Linked DNA regions of Macaca mulatta. The protein of the gene in region 2 interacts with the protein of the main gene of each other region in a pairwise test. Links are inferred from orthologs where the notes say so. Each region holds a gene or a part of one and is shown on either strand. Other genes may lie near its edges. The genes, in order: CRYBB2, CRYAB and CRYGC.

What was found.
Region 1: the proteins of CRYAB (region 2) and CRYBB2 interact in a two-hybrid assay, tested with the Homo sapiens proteins (2 studies listed by BioGRID and IntAct). The link is inferred for Macaca mulatta from reciprocal best matches to the Homo sapiens genes CRYAB and CRYBB2.
Region 3: the proteins of CRYAB (region 2) and CRYGC interact in binary tests that used the Homo sapiens proteins (3 or more experiments, as listed by UniProt). The link is inferred for Macaca mulatta from reciprocal best matches to the Homo sapiens genes CRYAB and CRYGC.

The regions. Positions count from the first base shown.
Region 1 is NC_133415.1:26,673,451-26,679,638, reverse strand, and holds the end of CRYBB2 (beta-crystallin B2), read right to left. Parts: coding exon 6,065-6,188; intron 4,569-6,064; coding exon 4,426-4,568; intron 2,676-4,425; coding exon 2,507-2,675; 3' UTR 2,410-2,506; downstream 1-2,409. UniProt on the Homo sapiens protein: Crystallins are the dominant structural components of the vertebrate eye lens.
Region 2 is NC_133419.1:112,656,614-112,663,274, forward strand, and holds CRYAB (alpha-crystallin B chain), read right to left. Parts: upstream 3,724-6,661; 5' UTR 3,691-3,723; coding exon 3,490-3,690; intron 2,700-3,489; exon of another isoform or gene 2,631-2,699; intron 2,409-2,630; coding exon 2,286-2,408; intron 937-2,285; coding exon 733-936; 3' UTR 594-732; downstream 1-593. Other genes in the region: HSPB2 (heat shock protein beta-2), read left to right, coding at 4,796-4,889, 5,397-5,851. UniProt on the Homo sapiens protein: May contribute to the transparency and refractive index of the lens. Has chaperone-like activity, preventing aggregation of various proteins under a wide range of stress conditions.
Region 3 is NC_133417.1:113,408,553-113,414,700, forward strand, and holds CRYGC (gamma-crystallin C), read right to left. Parts: upstream 3,570-6,148; 5' UTR 3,548-3,569; coding exon 3,539-3,547; intron 3,440-3,538; coding exon 3,197-3,439; intron 2,224-3,196; coding exon 1,951-2,223; 3' UTR 1,880-1,950; downstream 1-1,879. UniProt on the Homo sapiens protein: Crystallins are the dominant structural components of the vertebrate eye lens.

The DNA.
Region 1 (6,188 bases), on a different chromosome or scaffold from region 2:
CAGTGGTTTGCTGCACTCATCAACCGATCATCTATGTTTTAAGCCCTGCATGCATTTGGTATTTGTCCTAATGCTCTCCCTCCCCTTGCTCCCCACCCCTGACAAACCCCAATGTGTGATGTTCTCCTCCCTGTGTCCATGTGTTCTCATTGTTCGACTCCCACTTATGAGTGAGAACATGCGGTGTTTGGTTTTCTGTTCCTGTGTCAGTTTGCTGAGAATGACGGTTTCCAGCTTCATCGATGTCCCCGCAAAGGACATGAACTCATTCTTTTTTATGGCTGCATAGTATTCCATGATGTATATGGAGCACTTACTGGTTTCTACCTTTATGATAATCATTTGAACCACTTTAGTTCATTCAACAAGGTTTTCCACTTTTCCAAATGTGAGGGGATGCTTCTAAATGGAGTCCTAAAGGGGCGAGAATTTCTAAAACATTCCTGAAGAATCATGTTATAGGGCAGTGGTCCCCAAATGTTTTGGCACCAGGGATCGATTTTGTGGAAGACACTTTTTCATGGGCTGTGGGCAGCGGACGTTAGATTCTCATTGGAGCATGCAACCTAGATCCTTTGCATGTACAATTCACAATAGGGTTTGCACTCCTGTGAGAATCTAATGCCTCCGCTGGTCTGACAGGAGGCGGAGCTCAGGCTGCAATGCCCACCTCCTGTTGTGCAACCCCCATTTCCGGCCATGGGAGACCCAGGGTTTCAGGGCCCCTGTTTTAGGGACCTCAACACTGACTACAAAGCAGTAGTCATGAACATAAAGTGGCAAAGTGCGGGGATACACTGACTATAGGAACAGAAAAGACAGCCCATAAAATCACCCCATCTATGGGGAAGGGGATGGATCAGCAAGGTGACTGCGCTGCAGTGCAGCAAATGGACTCCTTCATGAATGATTTTAGGACATCGGATGTCCAAAGTGGAAAAAAAAAGAAAAGGAAACTGAATCTCTACCATACACTACATGCAAGAATCAGCTCCAGAAGGATTAAGAACGCAAATGTGAAGAGCAAAAGTTTTAAAAGTTTAGGGAAAAAAATATATTGGGCAATTTCTTTGTAACCAGGGATTAGAAAGAATTTCTTCAAGGTTGGCCGGGCATAGTGGCTCACTCCTGTAATCCCAGCACTTTGGGAGGCCAAAGCAGGCGGATCACAAGTTCAGGGATTCAAGACCAGCCGGGCCAACATGGTGAAACCCCTACTAAAAATACAAAATTTAGGCGGGCATGGTGGTGCATGCCTGTAATCCAGCTACTCGGGAGGCTGAAGCGGGAGAACTGCTGAACCCGGGAGGCGGAGGTTGCAGTGAGCCAAGATTGTACCACTGCACTCCAGCCTGGGCAACAGAGCAAGACTCTGTCTTGGGAAAAAAAAAAAGGAAGAAGAAAGAATTTCTTCAAGGAGATGTGAAAGGCATAAACCCTAAAGGAAAATATTGCTGTTTGACTACATTAAAATTTAAAATGGTATCAAGAGATACCAAAAACAAAGTGGCAAGAGGCTGCACCCAGGAAGCAGATATTTGCACTGCATATTAACCAACAAAAGCTGAGTCTAAAGACAGAAGGCCTGCAGCATTTCGTTTCAGCCTTGTCGCAATCCCATTAGGAAGGTACTGTTTCTCTCCCATCTTCCTGAGTAGAAGCATCAAAGCTCTGAAGGCAAAAGGACTTGCCTGAGCCTCTATCCCTGGCCAATGGCCCAGAACAGCAGTATAAACCAGCCTTCATTCCCAGATCATTGCATCACCTTGAGCCTGGCTACAGCCAAGATCCTCACAGCTCAGTAGTCTCTTCCTCATTGAAGTAGCTTAGATGTGTAGATTCTTAAATTACTAACAGTTGCCCGCAGCCATATGATGAATGAATGAACACACTCACAAACGTGGCATTCTGACCTCTCCCTGGGCTGGAGTGGGGGATTCAGGGTTCTTGGCTTCTCTTGCAAATCAAAAAAGACTCCCAGACTCAAGGGGATAATGTGATAATGTGAGAATGGCGGGCAGTGAACACGTTTTTAAGGGCTGGGGCACCCATCACATGCCCCTGAGAATGACTGTGCTCAGCAACCAGCATGTAACAGGGGGCTCAGGAGCTCAACCAAGCCAGCCACTCAGAGGCAAGGGAATTTCAAGTCAGATGAAGAAATAAAGGCTCAGAGAGGTTGGGCACTGTGTCCAAGGTCACACAGCTAAGCAGCTGCAGAACTGTAAGATTCAATTAAGGGTTCTGTTGCCCTACTCCTAGCCCAGATACATGCTGATTCTCATTTCTCTCTCGCTGTCTCTCTCTCTCTCTCTCTCTCTCTCTCTCTCTCTCTCTCACACACACACACACACACACACACACACACACACACCCCAGCTGCTGGGGGGATCAGAGACCCACAGCAGACAAGTTGCAAGTCACACTTTATTCACTCTCTGGTTGGTCTGGAGGGTTCCTGGGCAGCAGGTCTGGGTCCTGGGAAAGAGGCATGGTGGGGAGGGTACTAGTTGGAGGGGTGGAAGGCGCCACGTTGGTGCCACTGCATGTCGCGGATGCGGCGCACAGACTGCACCTGGGGGTGAGGGGCCCCAAAGTCGCTGCTCTCCTTGTAGTCTCCCTTCTCCAGCAGGTACTGCAGCCCGCGGTAGCCGGGGTACTGGTAGCCAACCCACCTGCAGGACCAGAGGTGAGGGGAGGGTGAACCGGGGGAACAGGAAGAGAAACAAGAGAGAAGCGAGGGGAGAGAGCATCCATAAGCCACTAGGAAGGGTGAAGCCTCCCAACCATTGCCACTTCCCAGGAGTAAGCAGGACACCCTTTCCACCCCACCCTTCCAGCACTGCTTTCTTCCTTCTCTTAATGGGGAGCTCACTGCCTCCTGAAGCAAATTTTGACTGAAGGCCTGGTACTGGGGTCAGAGCAAGGGGGTGGTATCTTAAGCTCACTGAAGTTTAGAATAAGTCAGACCTTTGAACCATCTCCATCCACTGCTATCCCACCTCCAAGCCCAGCTGCAAGGCCAAACAGTTGGGGGAGGTTCCAGGGGTCTTCTGATGAAAGAGGTTCCAGGGGCTACTTAATGAAAGTACTGGTCTTCTCTCCAGAAAATGTCACACAGGCCTGGCCTGCAAGGACCTGCCTGGCCAGTCTCTATGGACATATCCAGCACTACCTTCGCATTCTTATGCTCCCACATCTCTGCAGTCCAGCCAGTGGCCTTTGTAGAGTTTCTCAGACCTACCAGGCTCCCCCCACATGCACCACAGGGCCTTTGCACATGCTGCTCTCATTGTCTGGGACGCTCTTGCTTGGCCTCTTTACCCCCGCAATTCCTACTGTTTCTTGAGATCTCAGCTCAAGAATCTTTTCTCGGCCGGGCGCGGTGGCTCACGCCTGTAATCCCAGCACTTTGGGAGGCCGAGACGGGCGGATCACGAGGTCAGGAGATCGAGACCATCCTGGCTAGCACGGTGAAACCCCATCTCTACTAAAAAATACAAAAAACTAGCCGGGCGAGGTGGCGGGCGCCTGTAGTCCCAGCTACTCGGGAGGCTGAGGCAGGAGAATGGCATAAACCTGGGAGGCGGAGCTTGCAGTGAGCTGAGATCTGGCCACTGCACTCCAGCCTGGGCGACAGAGCGAGACTCCGTCTCAAAAAAAAAAAAAAAAAAAAAAAAAAAATTGCTGAGCTTGGTAGTGGGCACCTGTAATCCCAGCTATTTGGGAGGTTGAGACAGGAGAATTGCTTGAACCTGGGAGGCGGAGGCTGCAGTGAGCCAAGATTGTTCCACTGCATTCCAGCCCGGGCGACAGTGCAAGACCCCATCTCAATTAAAAAAAAATAAAAAAAATTTAAAAAAGGCTGATATAAGCTATTTCCAACACACTGCTGCCCAAAGCTCATCTGTGGACCCCCCATGGAATCCAAATTTTTTACCATGAGAAATCCCCCATTGCTGATGGCCAGGGTCGATGTGCCCAGGAACTTCCATTCAGAGGAAAATGACACCTCCTGTTCCCAAACTTAGGGACACATGCGGTCAAAGGCAGCATGGGCTGGTCCTCCTGCTTCTCAGCTTTCAGACTACTTAACTCATTCCTTCCCTCCTGCCTCAACCTAATCCTCCCTCTGCCTCAACTTGCCCCTCTGACATACATGTCTTGCTCACTGGGGCTGAGGTAAAGGCCAAGGTTTCTCCACTCCAAAGGCCATTTCCCCAAAGGCAGCTCTAGAGAGAAATTCAGGGGCTGTAAGCTACCTGTGGACAGAGAATTCCCATTTACTTTCCAGTGGGAAGCCAGAGGTCAGCAGAGTACACTGATGTGTGCAAGATCACCAGTGTACACAGGGCAGAGCAGGACTTAGGACCCGAGAGTCTCAGTTCCTGGGGCAGGGTGAGCCAGGGCTGGCAATGCGCTTACGTGCCACTCTGCACCCGCACAGATGACACCTTCTCCTGGTAGCCATGGGCGTGGAAGCTGGGTACGTCGTCATCTATGATTTCCATCTTCTTCCCGGTGAAGTTGGGGTTTTCATAGAGGATGATCTTGTGCTCTTGGCTGTCCTATTGGCAGAGGATGTGGGGAAGTGAGTATGAGTGACGGGGCCCAGGGTTGGCCTTCCCACCCCATGCTCATGCCCCAGAGTTGGGATCCGCATGTCCCACACATCACTCTCTGCCCAGTGCACCTACCACGTGTCTATGACAACTGCTGTTGGATCGCAGCCATTTGTTAAGTTTCTACTGGGCCATTTTCATGTAACAGACACTCTGACACTTTGGGGAATATTTGATTCTGAAATGTCATTTTTTCCTCCTATGCCTCAAGTTTCTCTTTTATAAATGGCAGCTACAATCTACCACCCACTCACAAGTGCACACCCACACATGCACACACAGGCACACTCACAGGCATACACACACAGGCACACACATGCACACACACACATGCACACAGGCGCACACACACACGCACACCCACACATGCGCACACACACATGCACACACACGTGCACACACACGCGCACACACACACAAGCACACACAGGCACACACGCACACACACACGTGCACACACATGCACACACAGGCAGGCACACACACACATGCACAGGCTAATTGTGCCTCTAATAGGCACCTGAGATATTTTGATTTTTCTTCATTTCTACATCTCTTCCCATCCTCCTGTTCCTGTAACATTTTCCTTAGTTATCTAATCCTTTAAACATTTTCAGTTTAAGATAAGATTTTCAGATAAGAAAACCCTTATCCCTTAGACATAAAATCCTTTTATGCCATTTGGCAGATGAGAAAAATGAGGCACAGAGAGGTCAAATGACGTGCTCAAGGCCACACAGATGGGAGCAGCACAGCCAACATGGGAACCTGGGTCTGTGGGGTGTGAAGTCCAGTGTTCTCCAACCTTCCAGTAGGTCCTGGGAGGAGCTAGACTGGGCTTGGAGGGTTTGGGAGTGTAACTGAGCAGTGATGGGCCCTGTCCCCTCCCCGACAGTTTACACACTCACACACTAGTAAGACTCGGGATCTCAGAAGCACTGAAAACTCACACTGGCACGAGTCTTGAAGAAGAGCTAAACCACCTTCTCCTCCAGTCCTGAACTCAGAATTTCTTGTATTTCTGATGGCTATTGATTATTGAGCAATGACTCTGTGATGGGAGTTGCCCAACCCTGCGGGGTGGGGGGCACCAACCACGTAAAACAGAATGTGAATAGTGCCCTCTGGGGCATTTCATAGTCTTGTGATTGGAGACCCCTGGAGTTGCGCAGCGTGACAACCCTCAAGCTAATAAGCACATTGGAATCTCAGGACAGTAGATACCAATATGCCCATTTTACAGATGAAGAAACTGAGGCTCAGGGAAGTAAAATGACTTTTGCAAGGTCACCCAGTGAGGAGGTTCCTCACCAATCAGAAGGGGCACAATGCTAGAGGGGCAGGCTCTTTCCTGGTCTCAGGACCTCCGGCTCCAAGGTGGCAAAGACAGAAAGTAGGATGATGGGCAGAGAGAGAAAGTAGGATGATGGCAGGGGGCTCACCACTTTGATGGGCCTCAGGGAGCTGAGGGAGTCTGTCCTGCGGCTGCTGGTCCACGAGTCCCAGCGGGGGTACTCGCCCTTCTCAAACACAAACTGCTCGCCCTTGCAGTTGGCCTGTTCATAG
Region 2 (6,661 bases):
ATTGTCTTCCACAAAACCAGTCCCTGCTGCCAAAAAGGTTGGGGGCCACTGATTTAGCCTATACCTCAGAGCTTGTTAGGTGATAATCACCCAAGTCCTGCTTATTGCCCTTGTAAATCAGCTTAAGGCAATACTTATCAATAGGAAAACGTCAAACAATATTAGGGTCACCATGTCTTCCCTGATGATGTAATTAATTTTAGAGATGCAGTAAGGCCTTTTATGTAGCATTATCCAGAGTTCATTCAGATGTGTTCCAGTCCTTTAAACTGAGGGCTAAAATCAAAGAGGGCAGAGACAGAGTAACTAATATTCCTTGAACTCTGCCAGGGGCTTTTCCTGCTTCTTCTCCTTAATTTACTTCCTATAATAGCTCTGTACAACTCAGTAACCCATGTTATAAATGGAAAACCTGAAGACCAGAAAGGTTAAGCAACTTGCCTAAATTTATATCATTAGTAAATGGTGGAGCCAGTCATTCTGACTCTAAAATCCTTGGAGCCCTCTAAATCATAATGCAATCATAAATAGATCTGTGGTATCCGTACATTTATTTAAAAGTGTGTGGAATATTCAAACACAAGACAGTTATCTGTTGCTGAATGATATTTTATTAGCTTGATAATTTGGGCCTGCCCTTAGCATTAATAAGCTTCAGCACTAGTCACAAGACTTTCATTCACTGGCGGGGAAACTTTCTTGTTTTAAAAAATGCAATTCAAGAAAGGGCATCTATTTCTTGGGGGCTGCGGTGACAGCAGGCTTCTCTTCACGGGTGATGGGAATGGTGCGCTCAGGGCCAGAGACCTGTTTCCTTGGTCCATTCACAGTGAGGACCCCATCAGATGACAGGGATGAAGTAATGGTGAGAGGGTCCACATCAGCTGGGACCCGGTATTTCCTGTGGAACTCCCTGGAGATGAAACCATGTTCATCCTAACCCAAAAGAATGAGGAAAGAGGCAGAGAGATAAGAATATGAACTACTATCACCTGCCCAGAACTCAGGCATCCTGATTTCCCCTTAGGTGAGACCAAATGCCATGACAACATAGGAAAAATAAACAGTGCTTTGTTTCAGGGTTGTGGCTAAGATGAAGTTACCTAGGTAGTCACTCCTACCAGTGAGAATCTGAGAAGTCTGAAACAGTACAACACTTCATTGTTTTTCAAACCCTGAGGCATAGATATGTTTAGGAGTATTTCCCAAAGGTTTAGATAATGTTGACTGGGCCTACAGAATTTGGAATCTCATTTAGAATCTGAGTCCCTGAGGAAGCCCTGAAATTGTCCTGACTCTTCAGGAATGTCCCAGAAGGTTCCAGAACAATAGGACTGCTGCTGGGGAAAAAAAAAAAAAAAAAAAAAAAAAAAAAAGACTCCATCCAAGGAGACTATGACCCAAACCTAAATCATATGAGCAAAATTGAAACAGCCTGAGGACATTACTAAGGACAAACTGTACTGGTTGACGCACAGGTTCTGAGCTATCGCTGAGCTATCGTTAATTGGTGAGAAGGAATTTTAAAGCCCTCTTACAAAGTCATGAAAAGCTGTTCCATTCGTCAGAATTCCCCCAAAGAGTAGATGACCTTAACCCGTATGCCTGCTGACTCTCAAGCATGTAGCCAAACAGGCTCTCATTAACTGATTTCCGCATGGGCTATAGGGGATTAAAGACTGAGCACAGCTCTGAAATTTAGACAAACCAAGTAGTTCAGCATTAAGATGGGCTAAAGAAGAGACATGGATTCTTGCACAGCTAACAGAGAATTCACAACTCAAGTGCCTTTAGGGTACCTGTAGTTAATGTAATTATGCAAAGCAACTAGGTGTCTGACAGCCCTATACCTAAATCAGTGGTCCTCAACCTTGACTGTAGATTAGAATTACCTTAAAAAATGTTGATGCCCTGGGTCCCACCCCTAAAAATTCTGATTTAATTGGTCTGGAATATGCCTGAGCATTAGGTTTTTTGAAAGTTCCCCTGGTGATTCTAATGTGGCCAAGATTCAGAACCTCTGGCTAAGATGGGGCATCAACATCCCATCATCCCATCTAAGGCGATCAAATCAAACAAAGACCACATCTCTGGCCATAACAACAGTAACAACAGCAATAGGTCTATCCCTAACTTAGTCTTCTAGACATTGATTTGTAACCCCTGATCTAGACTATTATAGCTTGGGACTGGAATGTAGCCAGCCTCCAAAGCTGATAGCACTACCTGGACTATTACAGTATACACTGAATGAATGAGCAGAAAACAAAAACCAAGCTACATACCTGGCGCTCTTCATGTTTGCCATGCACCTCAATCACATCTCCCAACACCTTAACTTTGAGTTCCTCTGGGGAGAAGTGCTTCACATCCAGGTTGACAGAGAACCTGTCCTTCTCCAGGCGCATCTAGAAATAGCAAGGTAAGGGAATGGGACGGGAGAAAGATGGCGAAAGTACTCATTATACTGGTGTTGTCTTATTCTGCAGAGTTGCTTTCTGTCCAGGTAATTCATCCTTCTCTTTTCTGCTTTAAAATATCCCCTTTTTAAATAAACATGGCTCTCTGCTTCAGGGAGCCACCACAGTGATACCTAAGGCTCATGGTGATCAGACCCAAACTTTATTTACAGGGACAGAGAAGAAGACAGATCACCCAGGGGACCAGTCGCAAGGATGGGTGCAGGCCTGGCATCTGCTGCCTCTCTGGCTCCGATGCCTGGCTTTGTGGTTTGTCTGTGAGACAAAGGCCTCTTCTTCTGGCTCAGGTCTCTTTGCCAGTTTTCCACCCACCCAATCTGGAATGTTCTGCTGGTCCTGCTTGTCCTTCCAAAGCCCTTGCCCACTCATCTCCTGTTTACTCACACTCGAATATTTTTAAACCAGAGCGTTATCTGTGACAGCTTCTGTCAACCTTATATGTTCACCCTGTTCTCTCACCCTCTTAGGACGAGTGGGGGTCCCTATATTGTTTCCTCATAAGGCTTGGTTGGACCCAGGCCAATGCCCTGTCACAGCCCTGAGAAACCCAGAAAATCACAGAAGAGGGAATAAAAAGGCAGAAAATGCCCATGAGGGTGAACAGCTCAGGCAGGGTGAGGCAGGGCTCTCTCCTGGCTCTGACACCTGAGATGGTAAAATTGGTCAAGAGTCCATGGTGTTAGAAGAGATGAGCAAAGGAGTTTGAAGGCAGCTCTTTCCCTGCAGATTGTTATGAACCAAACCAGAAAGGGGTACCCTGCAGAGAAGTTAGGGGATGGAGGATGAACTTGACAGTGCATGAAAAAAATGTAATAAATGGGATACAGAGGACCATCAAGTAGAAACAGGTGACGGGGGAGGGAGGAACTAGCAACCTCCTCATTTTTCTTCACATTTGGATACACATGTGCCTAAAATGGTTTAGGCAGGAAAGGAGAGGAAAATGGATGGAGAAGTTTACAGGAGGTTCCAGTAAGGACTCTCCCATTCTAGCAGTGGGGAGACTCACCTCTGAGAGTCCAGTGTCAAACCAGCTGGGTGCCCGCAGGAAGGAGGGTGGCCGAAGGTAGAAGGGGCTCAGGGAAGTAGACGTCGGGAAAAGATCAGACTCCAACAGGTGCTCTCCGAAGAACTGGTCAAAGAGGCGGCTGGGGGAGTGGAAAGGAAAGAAGGGGCGGCGGATCCAGGGGTGGTGGATGGCGATGTCCATGGTGGCTAGGTGAGTGTGGGGGGTCAGCTGGCTGGTCAGCTCCTTCAGCTGCAGCTACAGCCAGCCCCTTATATATGCAGTCTTGTGAAGCTTCTGGAATGGTGATGTCAGGGGTTTTATTATCCTAGCTCACCGCCGGTTCATGGAGACTTGTGATCGGGGATTTGGCAGTGTGACACATACCCAGTACTCACTGAGCTAAGAAAAGAGAAACACAAACACGTCTGAGCCGGCCAGTGACTTGTCATGGTCTTGTTTCACTAGCTTTCTGTACACACCCAGTGGCACCCACCCCCACCCCAGTTCTCTGAAGCTGGTACAGAGTCAGGAATCCCAAGCAGGCACGCGGGCGGGTGGGGGGGCAGGCGGTGGAGTGTGCCCCTCCTCCTCCTCCTCTTCAGTCCTGAATGCCAGGGGAATCAGGCCAGCAACTATCTTGGGCCTGGGCAGGGACTGGAATCTTCCTAGGCTGGGCCCCAGGGACATTAACTCTTTGTGAGTCCTTGGAAGAGAGCAGTGATGGTCAACATGTCAGTACCAGCCATCTGCCTCCTGCCCTGGGTTGACCTGGGTTTAGGAGAGGACTCCGACATCTGGGCAGAAAGACCCCACTCCCTGAAAAAAAGAGCAGAAAGATTTCTTGCATCTTTCATCCTATGTGGCTCTCAGAACATTAAATCCAGGAGTGCTTTAGGAATTGGGTGCACAGTGCCGGCCTCCAAGGAGGAGAAAATGAGGTGTGGAAACGTGCAAACCGTTTGTGAGGGTCTCAGCGAGGCCTCTTCATGCCCCAGGCACCACCAGCTACCCCTTCTCAGCTCGTTCCTAACCAGGACCCTCAGCTGTCCTCTCAGGCCCCCTGCGACAGCTGAAGAGTGTGCGGGGGAGGGGACTAGGGGTCCAGGCGGCGCTGGTCACACCCTCGTTGCTCTCACTCAGGGCCCCCACTCCCCGCCCCTCCCCCCCAGAGGCTCGGCACTATTTTGGGTGGTGTCGACCCCGCCCCCACCTCCTATCGAGCCCTGGCTCTCCGGGCAGCTGGAGGGGTCGCGCTGCGCCTGTTGGGGCTGCACCTCGGACCAGGGCTCCCGCTGCATCTGCAGCCATGTCGGGCCGCTCAGTGCCACATGCCCACCCAGCCACCGCTGAGTACGAATTTGCCAACCCGAGCCGCCTGGGTGAGCAGCGCTTCGGAGAAGGTATGGCACAGATGCCACCCCCTTGCCTCCCACCCCCACCCCCTGAAATTCTGGGCTGACCTCCCAACGTTACTGGCCTCCACCCCACTCTGGGCTTAACTGATCTCCTGGGACCAGCCACCCCCCACCCCAGACTCCCTCTCATCCCCTCCAAGCAGAGCTCTTTCCCATTCCTGCTGACCTCAAGACACACTTGGTGCTTGCAGTGCTGCTACCTGCCCTTTGCCCGCCTGGGTGTGCCTCCTTGTCCCCCTTCTATCAACCAGGCCATTTGGTGCCTCCTCCTCCCCCCGCTTCTCCTCCTCCTCCTCCCTTTCCTTTCCGTTCTCTTTCCCCTCTTCCCAGCTGCCTTCTCCTCCTAGCTACTGTGTGGCCTCCTTCCCGTTCCCCACTCCTCCTGACTCCCCTCTTGCTCTTCCCAATCCCTCCTCTCCAGATTTCCCATTTCGCCCCTGTGCCAGCCTCATCCTCCCTCATCCTGCCTCTTGCGTTCTCTCTGCCCCTTAGGCCTCCTTCCAGAAGAGATCCTGACCCCCACACTCTACCATGGCTACTATGTCCGGCCTCGGGCCGCCCCAGCTGGGGAGGGCAGCAGGGCAGGGGCCTCCGAGCTTAGGCTCAGTGAGGGCAAGTTCCAGGCATTTCTGGATGTGAGCCACTTTACCCCAGACGAGGTGACTGTGAGGACTGTGGATAACCTGCTGGAGGTGTCTGCCCGGCACCCCCAGCGCCTGGACCGCCACGGCTTCGTGTCCCGAGAGTTCTGCCGCACCTATGTCCTGCCTGCTGATGTCGACCCCTGGCGGGTCCGAGCTGCTCTCTCCCATGATGGCATCTTAAACCTGGAAGCGCCTCGGGGTGGCCGACATTTGGACACAGAGGTCAATGAGGTCTACATCTCCCTGCTCCCTGCGCCTCCTGATCCAGAGGAAGAGGAGGAGGCAGCCATAGTTGAGCCCTGATTGCCACAGACCCAGCACCCAGCAAATCCCTCTCTACCTCCCATGGTGATATGGGCAGCTGCCCACCACTCCAGAGGTAGCAGCGTCCTTGGGGGAAAGGAAAGGTGCATGGTCTACAATGTATGGTTTGGTCCCATGGGACGTGTCATAGCCTTGGTTTAGTTTTGGGTGGAGCCGAATAAACCCAAATCTCAGGGCCTTGTTTGTGCTGCTCCCTATTCTGTGGCCGGCAAGCTGGGATGGGGAGGGAGGGAGGCGGTCACAGCCAGCTAGACAAAAAGTTCCTCAGTTTGATGTGCCTAACGTCATAGGACCCTGAGCTCGCACTTGGATACTGAGATCATACCCGGAAGCTGACGCTGGCTCCAGATCAAATTCCTAGCCGTGATTTTCTCACAATGCAACAAAAGAGAGAGTGATCCTGGGAGAGAAAAGGGATATGCCATCCAAACAGCCCAGAGGGCACTGTCTGAGCTGGTGATTAGAGACACAAAAACAAGGGTCTCCAGACTGTCTGGCCCGTTTTGGGTAGGGGCTGGGAAAATGGTTTTTGGCTGATGAGAGTTGCCTAAAGCCCTGGAGTAAATACTTTGTTTTCATGTACTAAGGTCTGTCCACTGAAATGGTCACTGATTTTGAGAGCCCGAGTATGCATACACAGGGGCACAGACACAAAGCCTCTCCAATGATCATGGAACCCCATTACCTTCCCGTCCTCTGGGGGTATGGTGTATTCAGAAAAGCCTGAGGGTCTGTCCCCTCAGTTATTCTCTGCAATCAAGAGAACATCCAGCTAGGTGATTTGGGGGA
Region 3 (6,148 bases), on a different chromosome or scaffold from region 2:
GCTTGATCCTGGGAGGTCAAAGCTGCAGTGAGCTGTGTTTGTGCCACTGCACTCTATCCTGGACAACAGAGTGTGACCATGTCTCAAAAAATAAATAAATAAAATAAACTTGCAGTATGAGCCGGTAGTCTCACTTCTAGGTCACTATCTTTTTAAAATTATGGCACGTCAGGGTTAGCGTATATGTACAATGTCATTCTTTGCAGCATTGTTGGTCAAAGCAACATTGGGAAAGCCCAGTCACTTAAGTGGACAAATGGTGAAATGGTCTAAGGGACTTCCAAACAACAAGATGCAATTCAACCATGAAACAGAATAAGATACTGACCTAGATATATGTCCATATTATAATACATTTTAAAAGCCAGTTGCAGACTAATATATATAGCATGATTCCATTTTTGTAAAGAAAAGAAGCATGTGTTTTATGAGACAGCTATATAAACAAGGCGAAAATCCCAGAAGGGTGCTCACCAGCTATAAACAGGAGTTAGCAATGAGGGGCATCAGAAGGACTCCCTTCTACTTCTTTATAGAATTTGTACAGTAGTAAGATTATGGGAGGACTTTTACTTTGAAGGGAAATTTTTAAGTTAAAATAAATTAATTCTCTACTGATGAAAAAACTTGCAATTGCTTTCTTTTCTTTCTTTTTTTTTAAAAAAACTTTTTAGGGCTTTGCTTATGAGCAAGCAGATTTTAGTTTAATCAAAGGCTCCAGAAATTATGGCTTTCTTTAATGCACCTTTAAATTTGGGCCCGTTTTGTAATTACAGGACTTATTTATTTATTTTAACTTTTATTTTAGATTCAGGGGCACATATCTAGGTTTGTAATACAGGTAAATTGTGTGTTGTGGGGGTTTGGTGTACAGATTATTTTATCACCCAGGTGATAAGTATAGTACCTGACAGGTAGTTTTTCGATCCTCTCCAACCTGGAGGTATTTTGTTTTCTGTTCCTGTGTTAGTTTGCTTAGGATATTGGCCTCCAGCTCCACCTATGTTGCTGCAAAGGACAGGGTCTCATTCTTTTTTTATGGCTGCATAGTATTCCATTGTGTGTATGTACCACTTTGTAAAACCCAGCCTACCATTGATGGACATTTTGGTTGACTCCACGTCTTTGTTGTCGTGAATAGTGCTGTGATGAATATATACACATGTGTCCTTATGGCAGAACGATGTTTTTTGTAGTTACTTTTTATGTTTGGGGTACACTATACCATGCAAATCTATTTAAAAGATTGATATGTATCTCTTATTAATTTATTTGCAATAGCTGGTCACCATGAAACTGATGTGCAGTTTCTGTAATTAACACAGCATTTGGGCCAGGGGTAGTACTGACAAAGAGCTACAGTCCTGGACAGGAGTCATTTTCAAAAGGAGATGAATGGTGTTTAACTTTGTTCAAAGGTACAGCAGTGGCCGTGGTGGCTCTGGCATTACTAATACAATACTGTGCCTGAAAGTAAACAAAAGTACAATCCTTTGTATAGTCTAATCAGGCTGTCGGCCAAGTTAAGTGTGCCCTCACCACTCATCTGACTTTGCCTTTTGTCTGACCCACATTTTTGGTTAGAAGGAAAATTCCGAACTATTGTTCCTCAAGGTACTTAGTTGAATGCCTCCCTTCTCGCCAGTCAGCCTCTCCCAGGTCTCTGGCATTGCCCTGCCTTTTCTTTCTCAGGCAGGCTACACCCTGCCTCCACCCCAACTCACTCTACCTTGTTCAAACTCACTCTAGGCTTGTTCAAACTCACTCTACCTTGAAGCTCTTTTCCAACAGGACTGGTCTCCTGCCCATTCACTTCTTAACTTTTGACAAGGAAATTTAAAGGTGAACTGATTTGCACAATGAAAGAACGACAGAAGTCAGCAATTGCCAATAATGCAGACTAAATCTTTATTAGGTTCCAAAATGGGAAATTGGTAGTGTTAAGCTATTTCAGTATAAATCCACCACTCTCCGCAAAGAGCCAGCCTTAGCATCCATGGCCCCCCAGTCCTGGCACCGCCTGTACTCTTGGGGCCTCAGCAGGTATTGGCGCCCCCGGTAGTTGGGCAGCTCGTAGAGGACCCAGCAGCCCTCCAGCACGTGGAGGGAACGGATCTCGCTGAGGTGGAAGCGGTCCTGGATGCTGGGGCAGTCCTCACTCAGCTCCATCATGAGGCCTTTGTGGTCTTCTCTCTCGTACAGCCGCAGCCTGTGGGAGCCTGTCTACTCGGTCCGCAGAAAGAAGGATAGAGAAAAGCAAATGAGTCTCTTCCGGAATTTGTCCAACCAAAGAACAGATGAACTTGGTAGGGTGGGGCATGGAATTGTCAATGTCAAATTTAGACAGTGTAAAATGTAGATTACTGTGGATGCTGCGCATGGATCTGTCTTCCACTAGCACCTAAATACTGCTATGCTCATTTTCTTTTTGACCTGAAATTCATTCTTATTTAGGAGATGGAATTTTTAAGAGGTTCAAACGCTGAGTTAGAATCCATCAAGAGCTCAGATATCTTGATTCCTAATTACCTGTGTTAATTCAAACTACATTTTGGGGAAAAAATAGAAATAATTTATTTTGACTAGTATTCTTTTAGTAAGAGTATTATCTCCCAAATTTATAAACATATAAATTTACCACTAAAGTAAGATTTAAAAAATCTTGTACTTCAGTGTAAAGTTAATTTAAATAGTCATTTGGAATGAGAATTTAACTGATTTTCCAAATTAAGAAAAATTACCTTTTCCAAAGTTGGACACAACCTTTGAATAGCCTATATTAACAATACAGCTTTGAAGGTTTACTTGTCCACAGTGGAACCTATCTAATTAATTCATCAGAAATTCTTTTTCTATAGGCAAAACAATTTGTTAAAAATATCGTCTTTGTATGCCCAACCAGCTTCCCATTTGCAAGTTTTGTTTTATATCCCATTATGATATTACATTTGTTACAGACCACTTTTAATTGACTTATTGGTAGCAAAAATTTAAAGTAAAACGGATTCTCCCTCTAAGTGGGTTCTTCCTTACATTTCTCTGCTGTTTTTGTCCATGTTATCTATCTGGCTTATGCAGGTCTCTGATGTCCATCTAACCCTTAGGAGTTTTTAAATGCAAACCTCCCTCCCTCTAACCCACATTGACCATACAGTGGGGACACTCCGGCGGCATGATGGAAATCTAGAAAACTCACCTGGGGGATGAGACAACAGGAGCGGATGGAGTCGCTGAGGCCCATCCATTGCTGGTAGTCAGGGTACTCCCCTCTCCGCAGCAAGTATTGTTGACCTTGGTAGTTGGGACGCTCATAGAGCATCCAGCAGCCACTTTCCACCCGGATGGAGTTGCAGCGGCTTAAATACGTCTGCAGGTTGGGGCAGTCAGTGGTGGATTCGTAGCTGCGGCCCTGGAAGGCCTTGTCCTCATAGAGGGTGATCTGCAAAGGAAGAATCGTTCCAAATTGCATTATTTGCTCTTAACAGGCATTATATAACGGCAATTTTTTTTTTCATTTTATTTTTTGTGTTCTGCTTACCTTCCCCATGGCTGGTTGACACGGATGATGCGAGTTCAGTGTGATGGGGCCTGCGGCCGCACAGCCAGTCTATATAGCAGGATGGCTGCTGCGTTGGCAAGAACAACACAAAAGGGGCCCTCGGCGGTAAGGGGATTTTACGCATCTCTTTAACATGCTGCATTCACTGGAAATGATTGTAGATTGTGTCCTTGTTCTCTGGTATATTCTAACGCTGTCCTGCACATACTGCTCTGTGTTGCTTTTATTTGGATTGTTACTGTTTTCTAAATTTATCTGCGCATCAGTCTGAACTTTTGACCCGAAATTCATGGCTCTCTCTATATGATTGAGTAATTTCCTGTGAATTTTCTGGGAAAGATCTATGCCATTATAGAATCGCTCCAGGATTCCAGAGAGGTTGTTGATGTAGAATGCCACAAACACTGACTCATTTCCCTGGATGGTAGAGACTGCTGTACCTTAAATTTTTGTCTTTACGCAGTTTTCCAGTCCAGGGCAGGACACAAATCTAGATGCATGTCTTGGCTAGTTTTGACTTCGTTAACCCAATGCTTTAAGACAGCTCTTAACCTTGCCTTTCGTGGGCACGTCATCTAACTAGAAGTCAGTCCCTGGTGGTGAACTTATGATAACAAGCAAGGGAAAGGTTTCTGTGGTCACTGGGCCTGAGACTGAGAAGTACTGTATCCTACTTTATAGATTGCTTTCCCTTCTTCAAGCGTGAGGGAGGCCGTAAAGCTTCACCGGCAAGAGCGTGAGCTTTGGACTCAGGCCACCTGCACTCAGAAGGCCCACTGATTAGCTCCATGGCAAATTACATAACCACTCAGAGCATGAGTTATCTCATGGACTACAGTCTGATTAATGAGAAATAAAGTGAGACAAGAGGGCAGCCTCTGACATTCAGATGCTGGCCTGGCACTCACAGTGAGGACATGTTACTCCCCTGTTAGACATAAACAGTCTCACAGAATAACAACTTCAGACAAGGCTACTCCGAGACCATGATGAAATGAGATACAATAAAGCCACTTCTTAACTTTGCCTAAGCGCAGACAAAAACAAAGTCAATGCTACACTCTCAAAATCCCAAGCCCTCACTCTCTCAGCCAAAATGATTAACTGCTACTTCTTTATGGATTACAGGTTTATCCGTGTTCTAGTCTCCCTTCCCTACGGGTAAGATTTCTTGAGATAACTAATCACAAAATTAACCCTGCTTTCTGCTAACATCTAATCTAGAGTGAACTTCAGATTTTTAAGATCCTCCCCCAAATCACACAACTGAAGTGCAAATCCTATTAACAATTTCTTTATAAGCTCTCTACTGAGACACTCCATGCTTCCCCAAGGAGAACTTACTCCCTTGCTGCAACAAATAATAAGCTCAACTTGTTTAAAGACAGGTGTGTCCCTGGTGGCCTTTAGCTAAAGGATATTGACATGAATAAGTGGGATTATGTGTATAAAGCATTTGGCACATACTTGGCACAAATGAACACTGAATATATGTTGTTATTAGTAATAGAGTGACATCGTTAAGGCTGACTTTATCCTGTTTATCTCTCTCAAAGGTATTTAATCCTTTCAAAGATTCCTGAAAAAAATTTATCCTCTGTAAAGCCATTTTGTGATTAAAGAAAAATTAGGCTTGGAAGGGACTTCAGAAACCATCAGGCGGTTTTCAAACTCGAGTGTGCCTAAGAATCACCTGGCATGTCAAAACCGCAAATTACCATCTTGACCTTTTGGCCAAATCCTGCATCATTAGATCAGGAGAAGACCTCAGAACCTATATTTTTATTTTTTATTTTATTTAATTTATTTTATGTTTTGAGACGGAGTCTCACTCTGTTACCCAGGCTGGAGTGCAGTGGTGCGATCTCAGCTCACTGCAGCCTCCGCTTCCTGGGTTCAAGTGATTCTCCTGCTTCAACTTCCTGAGTAGCTGAGATTATAGGCGTGCGTCACCACATGCAGCTAATTTTTGTATTTTTAGTAGAGACAGGGTTTCGCTATGTTGGCCAGGATGGTCTCAAATTCCTGACCTCAGGTGATCCACCCAGCTCGGTCTCCCAAAGTGCTGGGATTACAGGCATGCGCCACCGTGCCCAGCCCAGAACCTATATTTTTAATAAGCACCAAATAGTTCTTGGGCCAAAACACTGCTGTGGTTTATCCCTTTATATTTTGACAAGGAAATCATGTATTTTAGCCATCCCCAGGCAATGCCTTATTAGGAATTGTACTAACATTCTCTTTATTCTATTTATTTATTTTTTGAGACAGAGTTCTGCTCTGTTGCCCAGGCTAGAGTGCAATGATGCAATCTTAGCTCACTGCAGTCTCTGCCTCCCACACTTAAGCTCAAGCTCCCACTTCAGCCTTTTGAGTAGCTGGGACTATAGGTGCATGCCACCACACCCAGCTAATTTTTTGTATTTTCTTTATGTAGAGACAGGGTCTCACTATGTTGCCCAGTCTGGTCTTGATCTCCTCAAGCAATCTGTTTGCCTCGGCCTCCCAAAGTGCTGGGATTACAGGCATGAGTCACTGTGCCCTGCCTAACATTCTCTTTAGACCTAAAGGCAGATGTGCTCTCTGCTT